Cricetulus griseus: one gene and its partner. The protein of the gene in region 1 interacts with the protein of each later gene in a biochemical or structural test. Links are inferred from orthologs where the notes say so. Each region holds a gene or a part of one and is shown on either strand. Other genes may lie near its edges. The genes, in order: Plin3 and M6pr.

Region 1 (11,114 bases):
TTCAAGCCCCTGTGTGGTTAAGACTTCATACCTGGGGCAATGTGGCACTGGGGAGGCAGGTGGATTTCTGTGAATTGGATTCCAGCTTGGTCGACACAGTGAACTCCAGGTCAGCCAAGGCTACTATCTCAAAAAAGACTTCAAAGCACAGTATTGTTCCAAATTCAAACCACACCAAGCTGTGTGGACTCAGGCAAGTCACTCAACCTCTCTGTGTCTTTGCTTTTTATTTGAAGGTGATCCTGGCTGAACCTATATCCTTCCCAATTTGTTAAAATTTTTAAAAAGATTTATATTACTTTTATTTAAGTTGTACATCTATATAGGTGTATGTTCTCTGTTGTGCACGTGCCCTCGGAGGCCAGCTGGAGTCACAGCAGTTGTGAGCTATCTGGGTAATGGGAACTGAACTCAGGCCCTATGGAAGAACAACAAACACTCAATCACTGAGCCATTCCTCTAGTCTCTTAATTAATAAGTACCTTAAATTTCGTTTTACATTTGTGTGTGTGCCACAGCAACATGTAGGACTCAGTTCTCTCCCATCTGTGGGTCCTGGGGCTAGAACTCGGGTCCTCAGGCTTGGGTGAGGTCACCTTTACTCACTGAACTATCTTGGCCCCCCTTTTTTTTTTAAAATTTTTTGGCCCTATTTCTTCTTCCTCCTCCTCCTCCTCCTTCTCCTCCTCCTCCTCCTCCTCCTTCTTCTGCTTCTTCTTTATTTATTTATTTATTTATTTATTTATTTATTTATTTTGGTCTTTCAAGACAGCGTTTCTCTTGTAGACCAGGCTGGCCTCGAAATCACAGAGATCCGCCTGCCTCTGCCTCCCAAGTGCTGGGATTAAAGGCGTGCGCCACCAATGCCCGGCAGCCCTATTTATTCTTGACATAGGATATCCCAGGCTGCTCCAACCCAAAACTCACTGTGTAGCTGCAGCTTATGTACTAGGATCAGGTTGGCCACCAGCTGGTCCCATGTGGCTCAAAGGTAAAATGACCTCCCCATCACCCAGAACATGAAATACAGCTCAGCCTCTCCCAAATGCAAAGTCCAGAGCCACAGTACTGTCTCTGTGGCATGAATCAGGAGACTCTAACCCTGAAGTGCTCCCTTCAATAATGGAAGGGAGCACTGTGAAGGATACCTCTAAGCAGATCTGTGTCCGGAGAAAAAAGTGCTGGCAATGATAGAGAGAGGACTGCTGGGAGGTCTCCAGCTGTGACTACAGCCAGATGTGGGGCCAGATGTGCACTTCTGTGCAGAAGTGAAGACCTGTTCTGGGGTTGACACTATTCCTGGACATGGCATATGAGGAGGGGACCAGCCCACAAGAACGAGAACGAAATGTGTCCCCTTCGGAAAGTGGCTATGCAGTACTTGATTCAGAGGCCAGACAGGAATGGGGGCTAGCTGGAGCACCTGCCTAGAATCCCCCAGTGAGGGGCAAGGGGCATGGTCAGTGAGTACACAGAACATTCAAGTCAGCTTGGGCTATCTAAGAAAGACCCTGTTGCCTGGTGATGGTGGCACACACCTTTGATGCCAGCACTCAGAGGCAGAGGCAGGCGGATCTCTGTGAGTTCAAGACCAGTCTGGTTTTCAGCGTGAGGGACAGGACAGGCTCCAAAGCTACACAGAGAAACCCTGTCTTGAAAGAACAAACAAAAACAAAAACCAAAAAACAACACACAAAAAATCTCACTCATTTGGATTTGGTTAATGGATGCTCTGGGGATCAGAGAGCTGAGTTTCTGTTTCAGCTAAGAACAGCTCATCAGGCGAGCGTTGGTGGCGCACACCTTTAATCCTGGGAAGCAGAGGCAGGTGGATCTCCGTGATTTCGAGACCAGTCTGAGCTACAAGAGCTAGTTCTAGGACAGCCTCCAAAAAGTCACAGAGAAACCCTGTCTTGAAAAACCAAAAATCAAAAATCTTAAAAAAAAAAAAAAAAAAAAAAAAAAGGCGGTGTTGGTGGCACACTTTAATCCCAGCACTCAGGACAGAGGCAGGCAGATCTCTGTGAGTTCCAGAAACAAGAGCTAGTTCCAAGACAGTCTCCAAAGCCACAGAGAAACCTGCCTCAAAAAAAAAAAAAAAAAAAAAAGTTTAAATGGGCTGGAGAGATGGCTCAGAGGTTAAGAGCACTGCTGCTCTTCCAGAGGTCCTGAGTTCAATTCCCAGCAACCACATGGTGGCTCACAACCATCCGTTATGAGATCTGGTGCCCTCTTCTGGTGTGCAGATATACATGGAAGCAGAATGTTGTATACATAATAAAAATAAACAAAATCTTAAAAAAAAGAAAAACCAAAAACCAAACCAAAAAACCAGTTCATCAAAGGTCCTGGGGCAGGCTCTAATGGCTGCATCTGCTGTAGCCTTGTCCCCCGCCTTCTTGGGTTTAGGTTCCTTCCTAAAGGCTTACAACTGTTTCTAAAGGTGTGTACCCCCATCAAATGGTGCATGGTGCTTGAGAGGACAGATGATACTGAGTGCCCTTTGCTCTGGGTTCAGTGGGATCCAGATGGTATTCTGACTGGATGTGGCCAAACTTCAAGACCTTTCTGCCCAATGTGGGTGGGAACAGTAAGGACTGTCATCTGCGTGTTGAATATAAAGCATGGACTTGGAGGGTCCAGGCAGGGCCTCAAGACAGAGTCAATTGACCTAGCACTGACCTTCTCAGTCGGCTGTTGGAGGATGGGCAGGCTCTCCTGCAATCTGTCCAGCCCTCGGTGCGCGTACTCGCTGGCCGAAGCAACTGCAGGGCACAAGAGAAAACACACCCACTGTAAGTGCCCTTCAGAGGTGGGGAGAGCCACCTAGAGCCAGTTTCAGAGAAACTGAGGAGTCACCCCCCTCCAAAAATGGCCATGAGAAGCATTCTCCACACCCTGGGGTCCTCAACTCACTCTGGGGCTCCAGCTTGGACAAGATGGGCTGTGCCCCACTGACCGCAGCCGCAGTGAGGGTCTTGACGCCTTTCTCAGCCACATCACACACGGTCCTCACATGGGGGTATCGGTCCTTGGTGGAGGTGTATGCTGCGCTCACCATCTCACACGTGGAGCTGATGAGAGGCAGGCTGGCCATGCGGTCCACCACGCTGGGCTGAGGGCAGGAGACTGGGCTAGGAGCTCGGGACGCCCACAGGCCTGCTCTCATTTTGGGGGAGCAGGCCAGCAGGGCTCCATCATGCCTAGTAAAAACAACTGCACAAGGCAGGAACCTGAAGGTTCCATCACGTGCTTCTGGTGGCTTACTTGTTTGAGCATCAGACTGGCCACCCAGGACAGACTCAGGCAGTGCCATGACAAAGGAACCCCATTTCTTTTGTTTTCTTTCTTTCTTTCTTTCTTTTTTTTTTTTTTTTTTTTGATTTTTCAAGACAGAGTTTCTCTGTGTAGCTTTGGAGTCTCTCCTGGAACTCGCTCTAGAGACCAGGCTGGTCTCGAACTCACAGAGATCTGCCTGCCTCTGCCTCCCCAGTGTTGGGATTAAATGCATGCGCCACCAACGCCCGGCGGAACCCCATTTTTGTTAGTGCACTGGTGTGCCACATAACAGGCCCTATGTTACAATAAATCTTTCCGCCAAAAGTCCTGAGCGCAAGCGCCACGTGTGAGCTTTACGCCAGCCGCCCGCCCGAGTTAGGCCCAAATGAATACACAGAAACTTGTATTAGGTACAATGCTGCTTGGCCAATGACTAGGATTCTCATCTGTTAGCTCAGTCTTAATTATCATAAATCTATATATTTTATAAGACTTATCTTATCGGACTGCCTTGTTGGCATCCCTCCTTGTGGATCACATTGTGCTGCTGGAGCCCTATGTTCCATCCCCAACCCTAGAAACTTGGGGGCCATGGCACATGATGTCATTCAGCATAGACCGGAACCTCAAGGGTTCTATTATGACTGTGGTATCCTGGGCTACATTGTGAATTGGAGGTCATCCTGGGTTAAACGACAGTCTCAGAGACACAGAGAGATGGGGAAAGAGAGTTGGGGAGAGACAGAGAGATGGGAGGCAGAGAAGCATGTAAAAGGAATTCAAAATCATCCTTGGCCATATAGTGAGTTTGAGGCTAGCCTGTGCTACATGAGACCCTGTATTGAAAGGAGACAAAGGATGAAGGGTTAGGCATAGGTGTCTAATCCCCAGCATTCAGAAGGCAGAGGTAGGGGCAATCTCTGGAAGTTCCATGATAGCCTGGGCTACATAGTGAGACCCTGTCTCAAGCTAAAAGAAAAAAAAAAAGAAAATGAAGGAAGGAAGGAGGCAGACCTCCAGACTTCTCTCCTGGCTGCCCCTCCCAGACCCCAGCAGTCTGCCACAGAGAACTCTCAGAAGTTGCAGGGCTCCCTGCAACTCAGGCCCCTCACCTGTGGGACAGGTTCTTCCACAGCAGCCTGGGCTTCAGCAGGAGCATCTGTCCCATTGCTAGACATGGTTTCAGCAGCAGGTGCTTCAAGCAAAAGAGAGTCAAATGACAGCCTGCTCCATGAACACAGGAAGCAGGGTTGATCTATGAACCTTCAGCTCTCTCAGAGCCCTGTCACTGATTCAGAAGGTCCAAAGTGGAGCCTAGCTCACCACAGCTCCTTCCCAACCCCTGACCCTTTTGGTGCTGGAGAGCCAAGCCACTGCCCCAGGCACTCAGCAAAGCTGCACCCTTGACCACTCCCCCAGCCCTGCACAGGGGGAGGAGGGGTGCTCCACCCTCACCACACCCCCAACCTCTAACTTTAGAACTCCTAACTCCTGATGGTTGTGACAGGGTTCCCAGGTCTTTTTAATTCCAGCACTCGGGAGCACTGGCAGGCAGATTTCTGTGAGTCCCAGGCCAACCTGGTCTGCAGAGTTAAACCCCCTGTCTCTAAATAAATAAATAAATCTTATATTTATATTTTGGTTTTATGTGCATGCAGTAGCCAGAGTGCAGGAGAGGGTGTCAGGTCCCCTGGGACTGGAGTTAGGTGGTATGAGGCACCTGAGTGCATGCTGGTAACCGAACCTGGATCCCCTGAAGGAGCAGTGATCGCCCTAACCACTGAGTCAGCTCTCCGGCCTGATTTTATCTTCACATAGATGTTAGAAGATCTGGGAAAATGGGGAGACTAAGGACAGGTTTCAGATAGAGGATGGGGGTAGAAGGTGGGTCCCTGATTTTTATTATTATTATTATTTGTTTTTCAAGACAGGGTTTCTCTGTGTAGCTTCTCCACTTGCTCTGGAGACCAGGCTGGCTTCAAACTCAGAGATCTGCCTGCCTCTGCCTCCCGAGTGTTGGGATTAAAGGTGTGCACCACCAACACCGGGCCGGGTCCCTGAATTTTAGGCCAGGTAAGTAATCCTATTCAAAAACCAGGGGCTGGGGTTAGTGGGCAGAGCTGGCATACCCCAGTGATGCTACCAAAACCACACAAACCAGGAGTGGTGGCACACACCTGTCACCCCAGCACTTAGGAGGAAGGTCAGGACTTCAAGGTCATCCTCAACTATATCATGAATTAATTCTAGGACAGTCTGGGCTACATAAGACCTTGTCTCAAAAAATAGTTTTGAACCAATGAGACCACATCAGAGGGAAACTCGAGTCTCAGCTCATTGAAAGCAGAATCAGGATAGGCCATGCTGTCTCCACCAGCACCATTGACTCATATCCACACTGAGTCTAAAGGTTGCCCCTAATTCAGACCCTGGTGCCCCAGAAAATTTTGATGTGACAGGTCTGAACCCAGTAACTCCAGAACACAGATTCTGTTTTGGAGTGTGTGTGTATACACAATGTTTGAGGTGGTTCCCTGGGGTCTTATCACATGTTAGGTAAGCGCTGACCACTGAGCGACACCCCCAGCCCTCTTTCTGTTTCATTTTCTACATTTTATTTATTGTTTATCATGTGTCTATGTTAGTGTATGCTTGCCATTGTGTGCCTATATGGAAGTCACAAGATAACCTGTAGGGGTAGTTTTTCTCATTCCACCATGAATTTTGGAGGTCAAACTCAGGTATCGATCTCTGCCAACTCACTAGCCCCTGATCCTGACTCTGGAGACCCCTGGAAGGAGCTCAGAGGGCTCAACTCCTTGGGAAGCTTGCTTGCCATTATCTATAGCTCAGACTCTCTGGTGGATTGGATGGTGGCGTCTGTCAGATGCTCAATAAACCGGTCTGGCATACCGCAGCCTAACTGCTGATAGTGAAGGCTGCAACTTCCGGTTTGTGATAAAGGTTTCCCAACAGAGCAGTCAGGTGATGAGGGTCATGCTTCAAGTCTTGTGATCACCACTTAAGCCAGGTTACTGTCGCCTTACCTGGTGGGCAGCAAAGCCTAATTGACCCCTTTGAAGTCAGTCAGACACTCCTGGAGCCCCCCACCCCAAGCAAAGGGTGGCCACTGTAGATAAGCACTTTCTTAGTTCTTGGGGGTCTGTGACCTCTGTAGAGCTGGCTCCAGCTGCCAGGAACTGACCGACCCTCTCACACCCCGCCCACAAGATTACTTTCTCTGCTGAGAAAGCCAGAGAAGCCCCCAGGGTCAAAGACTGCTGCGTGTAGCCAGGACTTTGAAGTGGTCAAGGAAGTCTTTCTGCCTGGTTTAGTGACAATGCTGTCATCTCAGCATTACTGGTGGAGGCAGGGGGATGGCAAGTTCCAGGCCATCCTAGTTTACAGAACAGGCCCATTTCCAAAACCAATTACCAAAACAGAAACAAAAGACTGAATCAGAGATTCCAAGCGAGGGCTGCACCAGGCCCAGGGTGGAACAAGCCTGGCTTTATGCAAGGGTCCCTCCCCCTACACTCCCCACCCTACACCCGCTCTAGGTCGGGACCAGTGCTGGGCTGGTAAAACTATTTACAACCGAAGCAGCAGGATTGATTGATTACTCTGAAGGACAGGAGACTCGGTACCGGGAAAGGAAGGTGGAGTTGCAGGCCAGGAAGCGTGGGACGTGCGTTTGAGCACAACTCTTAACTCTGGAGACCCAGGACGGTAGAAGCCACCTTCCTTGACACTCAGGAACTCATTCCCCACCTCCAAAGTCCCAGGGTGGCCAGGCCAAGCAAGAGTTGCAAGTGCTGCAACAGTTGCAGCCTCCGGCAAAAGTTACTCTCCTATAAAAGTGGAATTTCCTAGCGTGCAGAGATTTGGGAGCCTCTGACCCTCCCAGGAAAGCCTCGTGTCTCCCTCCTCCCCAGGGGAGCCCCAAGATCGACCCTGGGCCCCCCAACTCTCACCAGAGTCCTCAGGTTGTCGAGGCAGGGAAACCGAGCCCTCCCAAAGTCAGTTCGGATCTGCCCTGGAGGGGCGGGGCGGCCCTGTGGATCCCGTGGGGGAGGAGCTTGAGAGTGACGGGACAGAGGACCAATAAGAGGGCCCTGTGACTTAGTCCCGCCCACTTACCCACCTTTCTCAGGAGCCCCAGACCAGGTTGCCTGTTAGTTGAGTCCTCAAAAGACCTAAAGTTCTGGTCTTTTATGGAAGGGGGAAGGAAAGCCTGTCTAACGTCCTTTCCTGAGAGTTTAGGGGATCCTGGCATCCTTCATGTTTCCATGTTTCAAAGAAGGTTGTGGATCCAGGGATAGCTGCGACATCTTCAGATACGCCAAGTGATAGTCTCCATCCGAACTCTGGGAATCAATAGCCAGGAGTATACACAACCTCGATAGGGCCCTAAATGAAAGCTTGCTCTCTCAGCCAGCCTGAGGCGCTCACCGTGCCGAGGCCTTCTGGTGGGCGAGGTGGGCGCTGAGGCCCAGGAGATGGCTGGCCACCGTGGTTCCTGGACTCCTGTATCAAGCAGTCCCTGAGGCTGCCCGCCTTCCTGAAATCTTTCTCCCGTTGTCTGTAAGCCAAGGGGTTAACCTCAGACGGCCTCAGGGTGACCCTATGTGCTGCTCCCCAATCCCTCAGGTCTCCAGTGGGGGGGAAATGTGCATAGGCGCTTGCAACTGCTCATGCGCCAACGTGAGCCCAACCTGGGGAGGACCCACCTTTACTGAGGTACCTCCAATCTTTCCTGACTTCTTCCCCGGACCTCCTTTTTCTGGGTTGCCTTGATGACTGAATTCCTCTTCTTCCTGTTTCCACTGAACAGTGATGCCTTCACAGGGGCGGAAGACGGATGGGGCACGCTGCCGCTGGTGACGCCCTGACCCACACAGCGCCCCTTCGCTCTGTGCCTTCATGGCATGGCGCCCTTCCCTCTGTGGCCTCCACCCCGATGATGCACTTCCCCCTGTGCCAGCGAGGGTGTCCCTTTCCTCTGTGACTTAGCAGGCATGTACCATTAACTCTGGGCCTGGCCTGTGGTTCATTGGCTGTGTATATAGGCATTCAACACCTACTGTATACCAAGGTTCTGCAGGGTAGCCCTGGGGACATAGTCTGGACCCTCTTGGCTTGGTAGCACTCAGTCCAGTGCGATGACAGGCTGGCAGGATAGCATTAAGACTTAGGAGGGTTGAGCGGTGGTGGCACACACCTATAATCGCAGCACTCAGGAGGCAGAGGTAGGCGGATCTCTGTGATTTCGAGGCCAGCCTGGTCTACAGAGCCAGTTCCAGGACAGGATCCAAAAGCTACACATAAACCTGTTTGAACCCCTCCCCCCCCAAAAAAAAAGACTTTAGGGGAACAGTCAGAGCTACATAGTGAATCTGTCTCAAAAACAAATAAAACAATAATTGCTAGAGTTAATTCAAGAAATATTTAAAAATTGAGGTCAGACAAGAAGAGCACTCAGGCGTCATGTCTCTCTACCACATGGTGCCTGGGGATTGAACTCAGATCTTCAGAACTGGCAGCAAGCTCCCTTCCTCACTGATCCATCTTGCTGGCCTCCAAGGAACTTTTACTTTGTCTCACTGAGGCCATCCCCCTGCCTCAGTCTCCCAGTGTTGGAATGAGAGGCATATGCAACCACTCTGGCAACTTTTAATTTTAGAAGAAATTAGGGGCTGGGACAGACTGCTTAATCAGTACACACCAAACTTGGGTTCCTTCCCCAGCAACACATCCACCAGGTGTGGTGCATGCCTGTCACCCCAGCACCCTGGAGCTAGGGGTAGGGGGGGATGAGGAGGGTCAGTTCAAGGGCAGCCTGTGCTAAATGAGTTTGAGGCCAGCCTGGGATGCATGAGATTTGAGGCAGGAAAAACGAAGATCCTAGATAAAAGAGAGCTCTCCCTCTACAGTGGCTGAGTCCTGATGTCAACCTGTCCCCACTCATTGAAGGACACATTAACAGCCTCAAGTCCTTGCTTTTCATTCAGCAACCTAATGGCCAGATGCTGTCCACTTCTCCAACTCATGTGGCCAGTGTTTTTTCCTTCTCACCACAGGAAACTGAGGGACATTTAACACACAGGCCCTGGCTGTCCCCGACCTCCTTGGCCTCATGGCACCAGCTGCTCACTGTCTCCTGTGAGAGGCAGTGGTGGTGGCCGGCTTGGGGGAGGGGCATAGCTCTGAGACCCATGGCCCACCAGGCTGGTCTAGCTTCTTCCAGGCCCCTTGGGCCTACTGGTCTCCTTTCTCTGGCCACCACATGCTGGCAGCTCCAGCTCCTTTGAGAGGTAGCCACTAAGTCTCCTTGGTTTCTTGTTTCTCTGGGCTCTGAGACAGACCCTGCAGGGTGCCTGGTGGCTCCTGAGGTGACTTAAAAGCAAGCAGGCCAGTGGGCAGACTTCACTTTGTAAATACCTTGGCTGGCCCAAGGGCTGTTCCCTATGGGGCCTGTAATCCAATCCTTCGGGGACCACAGTCCTCCCAGTCCCCAGAGAGGGCAGCCTGGCCCAGGTGACCTGGCTTGCCTGGACACTCAGAGCACTGCCAGCAAACAGGACATCCTGGTCATGTTATCATGCCAGTGGGGACAAACTGTTCTTGCTGTCTCTGTTCCTGGGTGGAGACTGGGGACTGCTGTCCGGGTGACCACCTTGAAACTGAATAAGCGAACATGGAGGTGTCACCTTGGACTTGGGAGTGGGGCATTCTGGTCCATAGGACCCTTAGAAGTCAAGAGCTTCTAATTGACAAGAACAGTGCTTCTCCCACCAGCCCTAGAAGGTGGGGAGACTGATCATAGCACTGTTGGTTGGGGCTTGCAGTATGGACAGTCCCTGGGTGGCAGCTGCAGCCAGTGCTCCTCCTGAGCTTGCAGCTGTGTGAGTAGCTTAGGTTCCTGGGAGGGGGGTTATTTTGGGGTTGGAAGCCAGGAAGAATGAGGGGCCCTTCCATGGGGGACAGGAAGCAGGGTGGCCCCAGCTGCCATCTCCCATTGGCCCACCTGGCATGGTGGGTGCCATCAGTCACCACACAGGAAATGTGGTGTGGGTCACTGAGTCTCAGGGCGGAGGGGGAAGGAGTCTCCCTGTGAAAGTTGCAGAGCTGGATAGAATGTTCCAGAAAGCCTTAGCTGGGTTGTCATGGCAGCTATGGCATGAACACTGACACAAGGTCTCACATAGTCCAGGCTGGCTGGACTTAAATCTCCCAGCCTCCCCAGTTCTGGGATGATAGGCGTGCATCACCATGCCTAAGGCCTTGGAGATCTCTGTTTAGAGGTAGATACTTAACCCATGGGAACTTGGCCCACAGTGGCTTTTCTGCCAAGACTTTAGAGACATCTTTGTTCCATTCAGACTGGATCTCACATAGCCCAGGCTAGCCTGGACTTGCTAAGAATGCTGAGGCTGGCCTTGAACTCCTGTTCCTCCATCCCATCTGAGTACTGGGATGACAGGTGTGTGCCATCACACCGGGATTATGTGGTATCCAAGGATAGAGCCCAGGGCATTGTACATGCCCAGCTAGTCCTGGGCCCACCAGACAAGCAACTCACATAGAGTTACAATACGCTTTTAATATTTAAAGTCGGGGCATTCAAACCAGTTAATCCTCGTTTAGTGACTCGTCCACCTGGGGGCAGCTGGCCTTGTCTTCCCTGGTGCTGGTGATGACGATAGGTAGACGGGCTTTGACAGTTGTCAAAGACCAGGGGAGGTGGATAGTGACTACAAGCTCATAGCTGGTCTGCATAATCTCGTTCTCCTGGGAGCCACTACTCACGGACAACACCAGCGGCAGGGTGAAAG
Region 2 (11,395 bases), on another chromosome or scaffold:
TGTCATATTCATCACCCCCTTTATATATCAGCATGATCCAATTACCTGAGGAAGGACAAGAACAATGACACTATGGAGCACAGGGAAAACAGAGGCAACAATGGGTATGGAAGTGTGGAGTTAGCTACCAAGATGGTTTTTAATCAATGCTAATTAGTATGATCTGTACATCTAAATGCTAAGCTAAAACTTTTCTTTTTTAAAAAACAAGAGTTTTGCTATGTAGTTTTGGCTGGCCTTAATTCACTATTACATAGACCAGTCTGGCCTCCAACTTGTCATTTCCTGCCTCTGCCTCTCAAGTTTTAGGGTCACAGGCATGAGCCACCATACCTGGCCTTAAAACTTGTTTCTTGACAAAACTCTGTGTTGCCCTGTTTTAGACAATAAAAACTCAATACTTAAGATTAATTCCAGCCGGGCGGTGGTGTTGCACGCCTTTAGTCCCAGCACTCGGGAGGCAAAGGCAGGCGGATCTCTGTGAGTTTGAGACCAGCCTGGTCTACAAGAGCTAGTTCCAGGACAGCCTCCAAAGTTACAGAGAAACTCTGTCTCAACGCCCGCTCTCCCACCCCAAAAAAGATTAACCCCATTTTTTACATTAAAGGTAGGCAAGAGAATGTGTAAAAACAGTTATTATCTGTGCTTTTCACACTGATGCACATTTTCTCAACACAGCAAAAGGAGAGGAGGTTCTGGATGATTGCTTAGTCCAAAGTAACATAGATAAATTCAAAGTGGATGTTTATTGAGTTGGGAATACATCTCCCTTCCTTAGTATTTACTACTTTTCAAGTTCTTTGCAAAATCTTGTGTGACTAACCACCATGTGAAGTGAATAGGTAAGGATGCTTTTAACTTTGCATATGAGAAGATTTTATAACCAGTGAGCTAGTACCTCATAATCATCTGTGGTGGTCTGAGTAAGAATGATCCCCTTATAGGCTCATAAATTTGAAGGCTTAGTCACCAAGGAGTGGAAATGTTTGAAAGGATTTTAAGCATTAGGAGGTGTGGCCTTGCTAGAGCAAGCGTTACTGGTGGTGGGCTCTGAGGTTTCAAAAGCCTATGTCAGGCCCAGAGTGAGTGAGTGAGTGTCTCTGTCTCTGTCTCTGTCTCTGTCTCTGTCTCTCTCTCTCTCTCTCTCTCTCTCTCTCTCTCTCTCTCTCTCTCCCCCTCTCTCTCCCTATGGCTCAGGATGTAGAACTCTTTTTTTATAACAGTTGCCTTGGTCACAGTGTCTCTTCACAGCCACAGAACAACGACTAAGACACCATCATACTAGGAAAATGATGATTTGGGTCAAGAATGCACTCATGCATTTTATTTTGTTCTTTACATAACGAATATCTACACTAGATTAATTATCTGCTTATGGGAAGAAATCAAGCCACTTTCATGACATTTGAAAAATACAACTATGTTAGTACAAGTAGGTGGTGTGTTTCTTTTTCCTTAAATACTTACTGGTTTGCATAAAAAGGTATTTTGGAATTCAGTTGGCAAACTTGGTTAACTGATGAGAAATGGTGGTGGTTGGTGTGGAACTCATTAAATATTTGGGTGTCTAGAAGGACTCCTGGCTATGTAAAATTCTGGCATTTTCATATTCATTCCCATTCATCATCTCTTCTTCTACCCCTTCCTTCCATCTTTCTTTTTGTGGTTCTAAGGGTCAAAGCAGAACTTTGTGCATGTGGGCAAATGTTCTACTCTGAACTGTTTCCCCAATCCCATATTCTTTTTGTTAAAGTTTTGCACTATCTTCAAACACAGAGGTGTCCTGAGCTATGGCTCCAGACCAGCTGTGGAACTAGGCACTGTGAGGTACAGTCCAGGTGGAGCAAATTCCATAACATGACATACTCAAAAAGTTGGGGATGGACAACACATAAAGGATTGCAGAGGACTGCCGTGGATTAGTCAGCAGGAAATACTTACTTCCATTGAAGATGTGAGTCTCGTTGATTCTCCCGACCACCGTCTCCTTCCCATTGTTTTTGCTGATCTGCACCAGGCCTGCTCCAGAGGAGTGGTTGCCAGCTTCCCGGCATACTCTGAATCTATAGCTGTATGTATCTAAGCCCTGGCCCACAGTGCTCTCAAAACTGCAGAAGACAAGTAGAGAGAGAAAGAACAGTATCACTAGTTACTAAAACAGGAAAAACTGCACCCCTCCCTTTGATGACAACCAATGTACAAAATGCAAATTTGCTGAATTTGCTAAACTATGAGTTGTTTATATCCCCATAGACTATCCTACTTGTTGATAAAGATACCACCCCAAACAGCTACACATCATAGCATACCTATTATAGCTATGCAAAAGTGTTGGCTATTTCGTTACAGCAAGGGACAGTCCCATGCTTAAGGATCATTTTATATCTGAAGATTCCCTGACAGCGATGAAGACATACTCAGACATGTATATCTCTTTAAGTATGTCTGCTTGATGTTTCTAAAGTCTTACTGTATGAAGCTATCAAGTTATGTTCTGGTTTCTACAGGCTGGTATTTTAGAGCCAGTCATTAGAAACGGATACTTTCCTGTGAAAGATAAGAAAAACACACATGATCACATGGCTGTGAATTTGGTCTGTCGCTAAGAGGGCAATGTGTTACAACCAAATACAACCAATACTGCCAAAATCCAGGTTAGACTTCATAGCGTGCATGTACCCCTTTCACATTAATGCTCGAGTACAGTCAGTAAAAGCAAACCCCAAATAAAGATCACTTCTTAAACCCTTTAAGGCTCTGCTCGTCTACCTTTTGTTAAACAGTGGCCGTAGCCTCTCCAGGAGAGCCTTCTCTTGCTTTGACTCCTTATCATTGTCTCCTACCAGGTCACAAGACTTTTCTTCTGCCTGCCAGGATTCTCTCACAGCCAAAGCCAGGACTAGCAATAGTAACAGTTCAGTCCTCCAGCAGCCAGAGAAGGGGAACATCCTTTTGGAAGAGTGTGTTGAAGGTGAAGGCAGGTTCCGGAGAGAAAGGAAACAGATACATCACATGACTGCAAAATTAATATTTTGATTATGTAAACAAAAAGCATGAATCTGCTTCATAGCAGTATTCTGGGAGCATCCAGCAATCTTTCTTCACATTCACTGGAAGCACGTGGGATGAAGTGAAGCAGCTCCAGCACCCCAAGTCACCTCAATTACTTACACACCATTTCCCTGGAAAGCCACCCAATCACAACAAGGGCTTAGATGTCTTCCAAAACCTGTCCCAGCTTCTCCAAGCCACAAATCTCAAGGGCTTCCTTCTACTTTCAGCAAGATGGCTGTCTTTCTCCACTCTACAGTCCTGTACTGCCACCTTCACTCACTGTCTGTGCTACTCTAACAGCCTTATGTGGCCCATGGGAGACACACCCTCAGCTGTGTCTGTGAATGCAGCCCTACATATTTGCAGATGATAACGTCCTATTTGTATGTTGAAAAGTTGGACATCCCTATATCATCCTTGTAGTTAGGCCACAGTGATTTATGCTGGCAGAAGGTTTCACTCCTATCTATCGGTAACCCTTCAGACCATTGGGCATTGTTCATTTAAGTTTCACTGTTTTTTTTCGGAGACATTTAACTCTTCCAGTCTTTCCTTATGACAAGACCATGGACACTCCAACCTTGTAATCTAATCGCATTTCCTTTTCTCCCTGAAATTTAATCTGAGTTTCTATTTCCCATATGCAAGGAGGGTAACAAATGCTTGGGGACTTATCTACCTGACTTCAAATACCCCACACATCAAACTACAGAAACACAAACAAGGCATTTCCACACAATAATCACTGGTGGCCAAGAGAGGTCAAAGGCTCTCTAACACATCTCAAATACAAAACAATAGGACACATTAATAGCGACAGCCTTCAGCCAGGCATTACCTGAAATACTTAACATGCATTAATTAATCAATCCCCCCAACCTTATGTAGTAAATTTAATCATCTCTATTGCAGATTAAAAAGCAAACAACAAACAAAACAAACACTGACAATACAGCTAATAGCGTGAGTAAAAGAAATGGCTCTGGAGCTCAAGTTCTACGCGTCACCGTCATGCACATCTTTCATCATAATTTTCTGGGATGCTAGCAGAAACCAAAGCAGAGTTGCCTTTCTTCTTTTTAAAACAAAGCAGGAAAGAGGAGCAAGTCCTCACAGAGTTAACTAGAGTGTAACAAAAAGCTCAGACTTAAGCTCTTGCCTTCCCTAAGCTCACCTATTGCTCAACACATAGCCCAACCAGTCAAATCACTGAGAGGTCCTTTTGTTAACCCACTCTGTGCCATTTCCCTTAAATTCTCTTAGGATCTAATTGAAAATGTTAACATTCTGGGCTCTGAAGCCCTTTCTCCCCAGGAGCATATTTTGGGGGGATGCTCTCACAGAATGAATGCTGTGCACTGTGGCCTCAGAGATGGTTCCTCATTTGTTAACTGTTACTGCTTTCTCTTCCCAAATGAGGGCAGAAAACTTCACAGAACTGAGACAGGATGAAGAATTAAAACAAGCTGTGGCAGACATTAGATGAACCAAATGATTTGTCATTTGCTAATTTGTCCAAAAAAGAGGAATAATTTTACATCCTGTCTAGCTTAAGATTTGACTGTAAGCAGAAAAACCAGGAGAAAGACTTGACTCTAAGTTTGAGATGCTCTTTTTGATCCAGTATGGTGTATATCATAAATGCTTTACTTACATTATGTTGGGAAAGCAAGATAAAGGAACTGAGGCTTACAGATGCCCACTGAGTTACTTGTTCTTGGTTACACAAATATTAAATGGGCGAAGTTCCTAGAGCAACCTGGATGACTAATGACATGAAGGCATTTTTTGGCAAACTTCTGATAAACATAGGCACAAGGAGAGAAAAGTATGAAATTCAAGCTGGGCAGTCCCTTTTTAATATGGCACAAATAGATCCTCAAAGTGTGTGACAGAGGATCTTAGGAACTTGAAAATCTTCAATTTCCTTACTCTAAAGAGACACAGATCTGTTGGCGATGCTGGGACATTCTCCTTTAAGGACAGCCAACGACTAAGTTAGAGATTGGGAAACTGCTGACATCATTTATGTTCGCTCGCACTTTCCCACTCGTGGCCATTTTCCATTTTTTTTTCTAATGGAAGGCTTTAGTTTCTTCCTCCTGGTTCATAGCAGCCAACCCTTCTAAGATCAGTCTGAACTGCCAGGAAAGGCCCAATGCTGAAAGAGCCTCTGGGAAGTAGTTCTGTGCTTCAAACTCCTACACGAAGAAACACAGATAAATCCCTCTGTTACTCTTTTCCACACCAAGCTAACACACACACAAGTTCCTCGAACTTCTTCCAGGATCCTGGAAATTCTCGCTTTCCATTTGCTCAGAGCCATGCCTTACCCAAAATGATGATGCCACGACGCCCCTTTACTTCCACGATACAGGGCAAAATTCTTCCAACAAGCACCCAGTAACACCACTTCACTGGTCTCCCCACTTGGCACTTAATTTCCCGCACCTTCAGAACATCGCAACCCCCTTTCTGGTCATGAAGTCCTCCCCCTCACTCCTGGTAGCCTGACGCTCCCGGTGCTCACGCCTTTCGCCCCCACTCGGCTCTACGGCTCGCTAGCAGGGTCTGGGGCTAGAACCACCGCCACGCGCGACGCGAGGACTGCATCTCCTCCGGCGCAGGGGCGAGCAAGGACCCCCGGCCCACCTGCTCCTCCACCTCCACGCCCCCCACACTCACGTGTCACGGAAAACACAGCAGCTGAAGCGAAGAAGCCCCCAAGAATGTGGCCCTGGGGTTGGGAGACGCGGCCGGAGAGCGGCGAGTCGCAGACCCCGGTCCTCCGTTCCTGTCTGAGGCCAGCGCTCCCCAAAGCGCCGCTCGGCTCCCTGCTCCAGAAACCGGAAACAGGAAGCGGCGAGAGGCAGCTGAGCAACTGCTCCTCCCACCAGACCCCGCGGCATGTGACCGCAGAGCCATCGCGCCCCTTTCCTTCCCCCGAACGCTGATTGGTCAGCAGCCTCGCTCGCTCTGCTCCCGTCCCGTCAACTCCAGTCGCTCCCAGATTGTCAAGATCAATTTCTTCTTTTGGGGGGCCGCCTTCCTACCAATGAGGCTCGAGCCCCGCCTCCAGGGACTCTTGGCTGGCGCGCCCCACTCACGCGGGGGTCACGTGCCAGCTGTCCCGCTAGGTCCGGTGGAAGACAGTCAGAGAGGGGCGATAGGCGGAAGCTACGGACAGTGTTGCTCCCTGGACTCGCTGGGAGTTGTAGTTTCTGCTCCCGAGGCGCTCTGGGAGTTGTAGTTCCTAGGGCTCTGCTGCTACCATAGTGGCCTCTGCGCGGCGCTGCTCAGCCATCCGTCGGCTGGAATCTCTCCCGGTCTATAGTTGACTGAACGACCTGGACAGTGGAACGTTAGGATCCTGCTTGTCCTCGTTTTCTTAACACCTTCAGTCAGAATTTTCTAACTCTCTGGGGACGTGCTATTATTACTGCAATGACTTGTCCTCTTGTGGCATCTTGCTAGATAAGCATACTCTGTTCATCAAAGCTGCCCTATGTGTGCAGCTCCTCTAGTCTGCATTCTGTTTCGGGGGGGGGGAGGAGGGGTCTTTGCGCCTTTGGTAAGGTCTTTTGCAGATTCCGGGGGTTTATTAGCCACTCTCTGAATTCCTACTTGTTCTAAGGACTGGGTTTGATACTTAATTGTTATGGCTTCCTGGGTTTACTCTCCAGGTTACTAATTTCTTCCTCTGAAGGTTCTTTTGGCTTTAGCTAGTCATTCCCTTCTGACTCTTACATGCTTTTGTGTATATCATTCTCATTCTGCTTAAATAGGGATCCATGTTAGAGGCAATATTATGTTTGAAACTGCTAGCTCTGTAGTGCCCATACTATTTTAAAAAGTGAACTTAAAAATTTTAATTAAAATATAATTACTTCCTTTTCCTTCCTCCAGTTCCCTCAAAGACTCCTCCACCTAGCTCTTTCCGTGCCCCCTCCATTTGATAGCCTCTTTTAAAAATTTATTATCGTTATATGTATGCATAAATATATTACAACTGCTGAGTCTATTTTTGCTGTTTGTGTGTATGTGGTTTCAGGAATGATCACTTTGTGTTGGATAACCACTTAGGAGGCTCGTCCCTGGGAGAGGTTAATTCTCCCTCTCCCAGAAGTCATTAATTGCCTGTAGTTCTTTGTTTAGGGGTGGAGCCACTTGAGATTTCTCTTCTCTGCTAGCCTATCTATTGATTTTGCCATTGTTCAGATCTTATTTGTGTAGCCATTTCTATGATACATTGTTTCACATCAGACTTCCTGGTATCCCAGCTCTTAAATTCTTTCCAGTCTCTCTCTTCCTCATGTTGGCTGAGCCATGGATTCAGGAGCTGTGATGTTCCCTGAGCCATTGGAGCTGGAGCCCTCACCATCTGTTGATCTCTTCATTGTTCCTGTTACGGTTTTCTATGATGGTCTCCATTTGCTGTAAAGAGAAGCTTTTTTGATGTGGGGTGAGAGAGAGCTACATTTACCGATGGGTATAAGGATAAGATTGAAAATGCCGTTAGGAATTATGCTGACCTTGCAAAGTGGTGGCAGTAGATCTTCTTCTAAGATCCATGACCTCACCAACCGTGGGAAGTTGAGTAGGTTTCTGGTACCAGGCGTAATTCCGTCCTGTTGAGTGGGCGTTAAGTTCCATTAGACTGAGGTTGATTGCCACCAACATGTGAGTAAGACTTACTGCATTTTTATGTCTAAGGCTGGCATTTATAGGTGTCACAGCTGGGTAGGACTATAAATGCCTCTCTCCCTTGGCAGCTTGTATAGTATTTTCTGGTACCGTGGAAGCTAGATTGCAGGAAGGAGACTCTCACATTTGATCCAACTCGAATAGTGTGAGTCCCATGTCTTAAGTGTGCAGTGTCTTCAGCAATAGGGACCTACCTTCAACCTCTGAGAGGCAGCCAAGGGTGACAGACATAGTCTATGTTGTTTTGGGAGTCATTGGACTATCCTGACTAACCATTTGAGAGACTTCTCATGGTTTGTACTGGGGGTTTTGTTAGTCTATAGTTCTTGTAGGGAGCATTGTCAGCCCAAATGGCCTTATGTGTGTTGTATAATTTTAGGCAAATATTAAATGTTTCCATAAGGGTTTATCAAAAAACATTGGTATTGGGGTTGGAGAGATGGCTCAGAGGTTAAGAGCACTGACTGCTCTTCCAGAGGTCCTGAGTTCAATTCCCAGCAACCACATGGTGGCTCACAGCCATCCACTATAAGATCTGGTGCCGTCTTCTGGTGTGCAGATATACATGGAAGAGAATGTTGTATACATAATAAAAAACATTGGTATTATTTTCTCCCCTTCCTTCTCCTTCTGTATTGACTTCCTTCCCTCCACTCAACTGAAATCTCTCTCCCCATTTTCCCATTTCCCACTTCATATCACCTGTATCCAGCTGTTCCCGCCTCAAGAGTCCCCTCCCCCATCACAAATCGCTTTATAGTTTCCTGGTTTCTGCTGTTACTCCATGTATATCCTCACATCTGAAGATTTGGAGCTAGGAACCACAGATAAAAGAGAAATGCAGCATTTGTCTTTCTGAATCTGGGTCACCAAACTCAATGCAATGTCTTCTAGGTCCATCCATTTGCCGTCAACCATTCTGCTTTCCCTTTTCTTTACAGCTGAATAGAATTCCACAGCTTGCAGGTGAGGCATTAACAGACGCCTTTGCTTCTGTAAACCTTGATGTGGGAAAGGGATGAAATGGTCTTTTTATTACTATATATTGGGAAAGTCAGAAACAATCGGGAGAAGCAAGCCAAGCAATGCTCCTGCCCAGCTGTGGGGTCCATGGACAGTTGTGATGCTTATGTTTCTGATGTCTGCCTTCAGACCTCGCCTTAGCCCCCATTTGGGCACAGCATGCTGTTTGGCGCTCAGGCTTCTGTCTTTCTGCTAGCAGTAAGCATAAATTCATTTAATCTAAATTTGAACTGAGTCTAAGTGAAGGGCTCTAGCAAGCCCATGCATGGCAAACACGGCTCTGGCAGGCCTTGCCCTTCCCTGATTCCTCTTCCTTGCTAAAAACCCTAAGATTCCATTCCTAAAGCTACTCACCAAGGTCTATTCGCTTATTTGACTACTTCCTCCTCGTTCAGTTGTCTTCCAAGGTCCAGCTATCAAAGTATTGAAGTCTAGCAATCAAAACCCCTCTTTGGCTGCCCTAATTTAACCTGTCCAATCAAAATTTAACTCCTCATTCATAAACTAAACTCATAACAAGGAGTTTCCCCTTTCACCTTTATAAGCTGTCATTTGCCTATGTGACACGTCTGTCTCCTCTCTATCCAGAGGCAGTCCTCTCTGGGACAAACACCTCTGTCCCCTTTCCTTTGTTCCTTCCCCTTCCTCCCCATCCTCTATCTCCTGTCTTTGTCCCTTATCCCTGCCCTCTGTCCCTCTGGGGCAAATAAATCTTCTTGGTGCTGAGAACTCGCTCTTGGGGGTCCTGAGCTGATACCGGTTTCTTCCAGTGGATCTGAATGCCACAACAGTTTACATACACATACAAACCCATACATACCAATAAATATGTGGCACGCAATCAGGTGTCTAATAAGCCATAACCTTAGCAGTGGCCTTATTATTTAGATTGCTTTTGAGACATAAGATGACATCGACAGGTCACATAAGACCCTTACAAACTCAGCCACAGCCAGTAAACAAACCAAAAAACCCAATGATAGGACCCTGGGAGAGCACTGAGTGAAGGTTTTGGAACCCTCTACAGGACATTTGAAAGGAAGAGTGTAGAGGAGTTTAGGCAGTTGGGTGGTTTTAACCCCTTTTTTGTTTGTTTATAGCTTGTAGCTGAGAGCTGCTTCCCTTTAGGGATGTGTGTGTGGGGGAGGTGTGTGAGGGGGGAGGTGTGGGGTGTCTGTGTGTGTGTAGGTGTGGGGTGTCTGTGTGTGTGTGGTGTGTGTGTAGGTGTGGGGTGTCTGTTGGGGGGAGGTGTGTGGGGTGTGTGTGTAGGTGTGTGGTGTCTGTGTGTGTGTGTAGGTGTGTGGTGTCTGTGTGTGTAGGTGTGGGGTGTCTGTGTATGTGTGGTGTGTTTGTAGGTGTGGGGTGTCTTTGTGTGTGTGTGAGAGGTGTGTGGTGTGTGTGTGTGTGTGTTAAGGTGTGAGTGTGGGGCCTGTAGCTCCTGGGTTGGAAGAGGAGAGAAAAGGAACTCTAGAAAGGAGAGGAGGAGGAGGAGAAACAGCATGAATGAGGAAGAAAGCAATTGCTGAGGAAGGTCGATGTCACTGAATGCATTTTGTAAATAAAGTAAGTTGGGACTTTGCAAATTGGACATATTTTAAATGGAACACTTTTAAAATGCAATTCAGGCACGAGTCTTAGGAGGCAGGGGTCATAACCTGACTCACGGGGTGAGGTGGTGAAACAGAGTTGCGGTTGGTTAGATCAAGGGAGCCTGACCTGGAGGGGGATTTCATTGGACTCAGCTGTGAGGGGAATGAGGAGGAACTCATTATTCTAGAGAAACCGAGAAGGTAGCTATTTGTTTTTCTTCCTTCTGGACAGGAGGGGGAACTTAGAGTGGAGGCGTGTGGTGAATTTCCCCATTGAGAGAAGCAGTGGCAGATAGAGTGAGGTCCTGGAGAGGAAGATAGGCTGCCGGCAGGGAGCGGGGTGCTGTCAAAGAGGAGAGGGCGGGGCTTAGCACTGCTGGGTCAGGAGAAAGGAGTGGGAAACAGAGATGTGGGGATGCTTTGTAATTACAGAGAGCCTCCCAGAAAGAAAGGAAGTGGCCGCGATGAGCCAGCCTGCGCATTAGCGCTGGTACTGTCAGTATCTGATCAGCGCGGAGAGCCTGCCTCGGTTGGAAAGGGTCCTCAGCTGCAGCCCTATGAACTCCCACAGAGAAAAGCTGCAGTTAGGTGTCCCCCAGATGCCTGGTTTTTCCTGCTGAGGGACAAGGACTGAGCACTGGCAAGGAAGAAGGGGTGCGGGGAGAGAAGAGTGGAGAAGAATTAGGTCTCCCATTGTGAAAGGAAGAGACTGTAGGTGGACAGAGCCAGCTAGAGGAGGGATGGAAGCGGCTGGCAAGGTGATCTGTAAGACACTCCGCTTGGTTTGCTTTCGCGCTGGATGAAGCTGTTTGAGTCCAGTGTTGCTTTGAGATAGCATTATGAGGTCCGGTGATCAGGTGGGCAGATGGGTGTCGGGTCCAAACAGAAACTGGAAACAAATGGCTAGCCGAGGTGCCTATTAACACACCAAAGCACATCGTGGCTTCCGGGATCACGAAGTACCGGTGGCTCCTCTCAGCTCTTCTCACCCTGCCCCTCCCCACTGCGGAGGGCCCCTTTTTTAT

The links.
Region 2: the proteins of Plin3 (region 1) and M6pr form a complex in vitro, tested with the Homo sapiens proteins (2 studies listed by BioGRID). The link is inferred for Cricetulus griseus from reciprocal best matches to the Homo sapiens genes PLIN3 and M6PR.

Annotation. Positions count from the first base shown.
Region 1 is NC_048598.1:97,263,436-97,274,549, reverse strand, and holds the start of Plin3 (perilipin-3), read right to left. Parts: upstream 7,346-11,114; 5' UTR 7,254-7,345; intron 4,475-7,253; 5' UTR 4,458-4,474; coding exon 4,392-4,457; intron 3,116-4,391; coding exon 2,917-3,115; intron 2,766-2,916; coding exon 2,683-2,765; intron 1-2,682. Other genes in the region: Arrdc5 (arrestin domain-containing protein 5), read right to left, coding at 10,912-11,114. UniProt on the Homo sapiens protein: Structural component of lipid droplets, which is required for the formation and maintenance of lipid storage droplets. Required for the transport of mannose 6-phosphate receptors (MPR) from endosomes to the trans-Golgi network.
Region 2 is NC_048601.1:22,964,648-22,976,042, forward strand, and holds the start of M6pr (cation-dependent mannose-6-phosphate receptor), read right to left. Parts: upstream 5,918-11,395; 5' UTR 5,740-5,917; intron 2,950-5,739; 5' UTR 2,949-2,949; coding exon 2,770-2,948; intron 2,109-2,769; coding exon 1,942-2,108; intron 46-1,941; coding exon 1-45. UniProt on the Homo sapiens protein: Transport of phosphorylated lysosomal enzymes from the Golgi complex and the cell surface to lysosomes.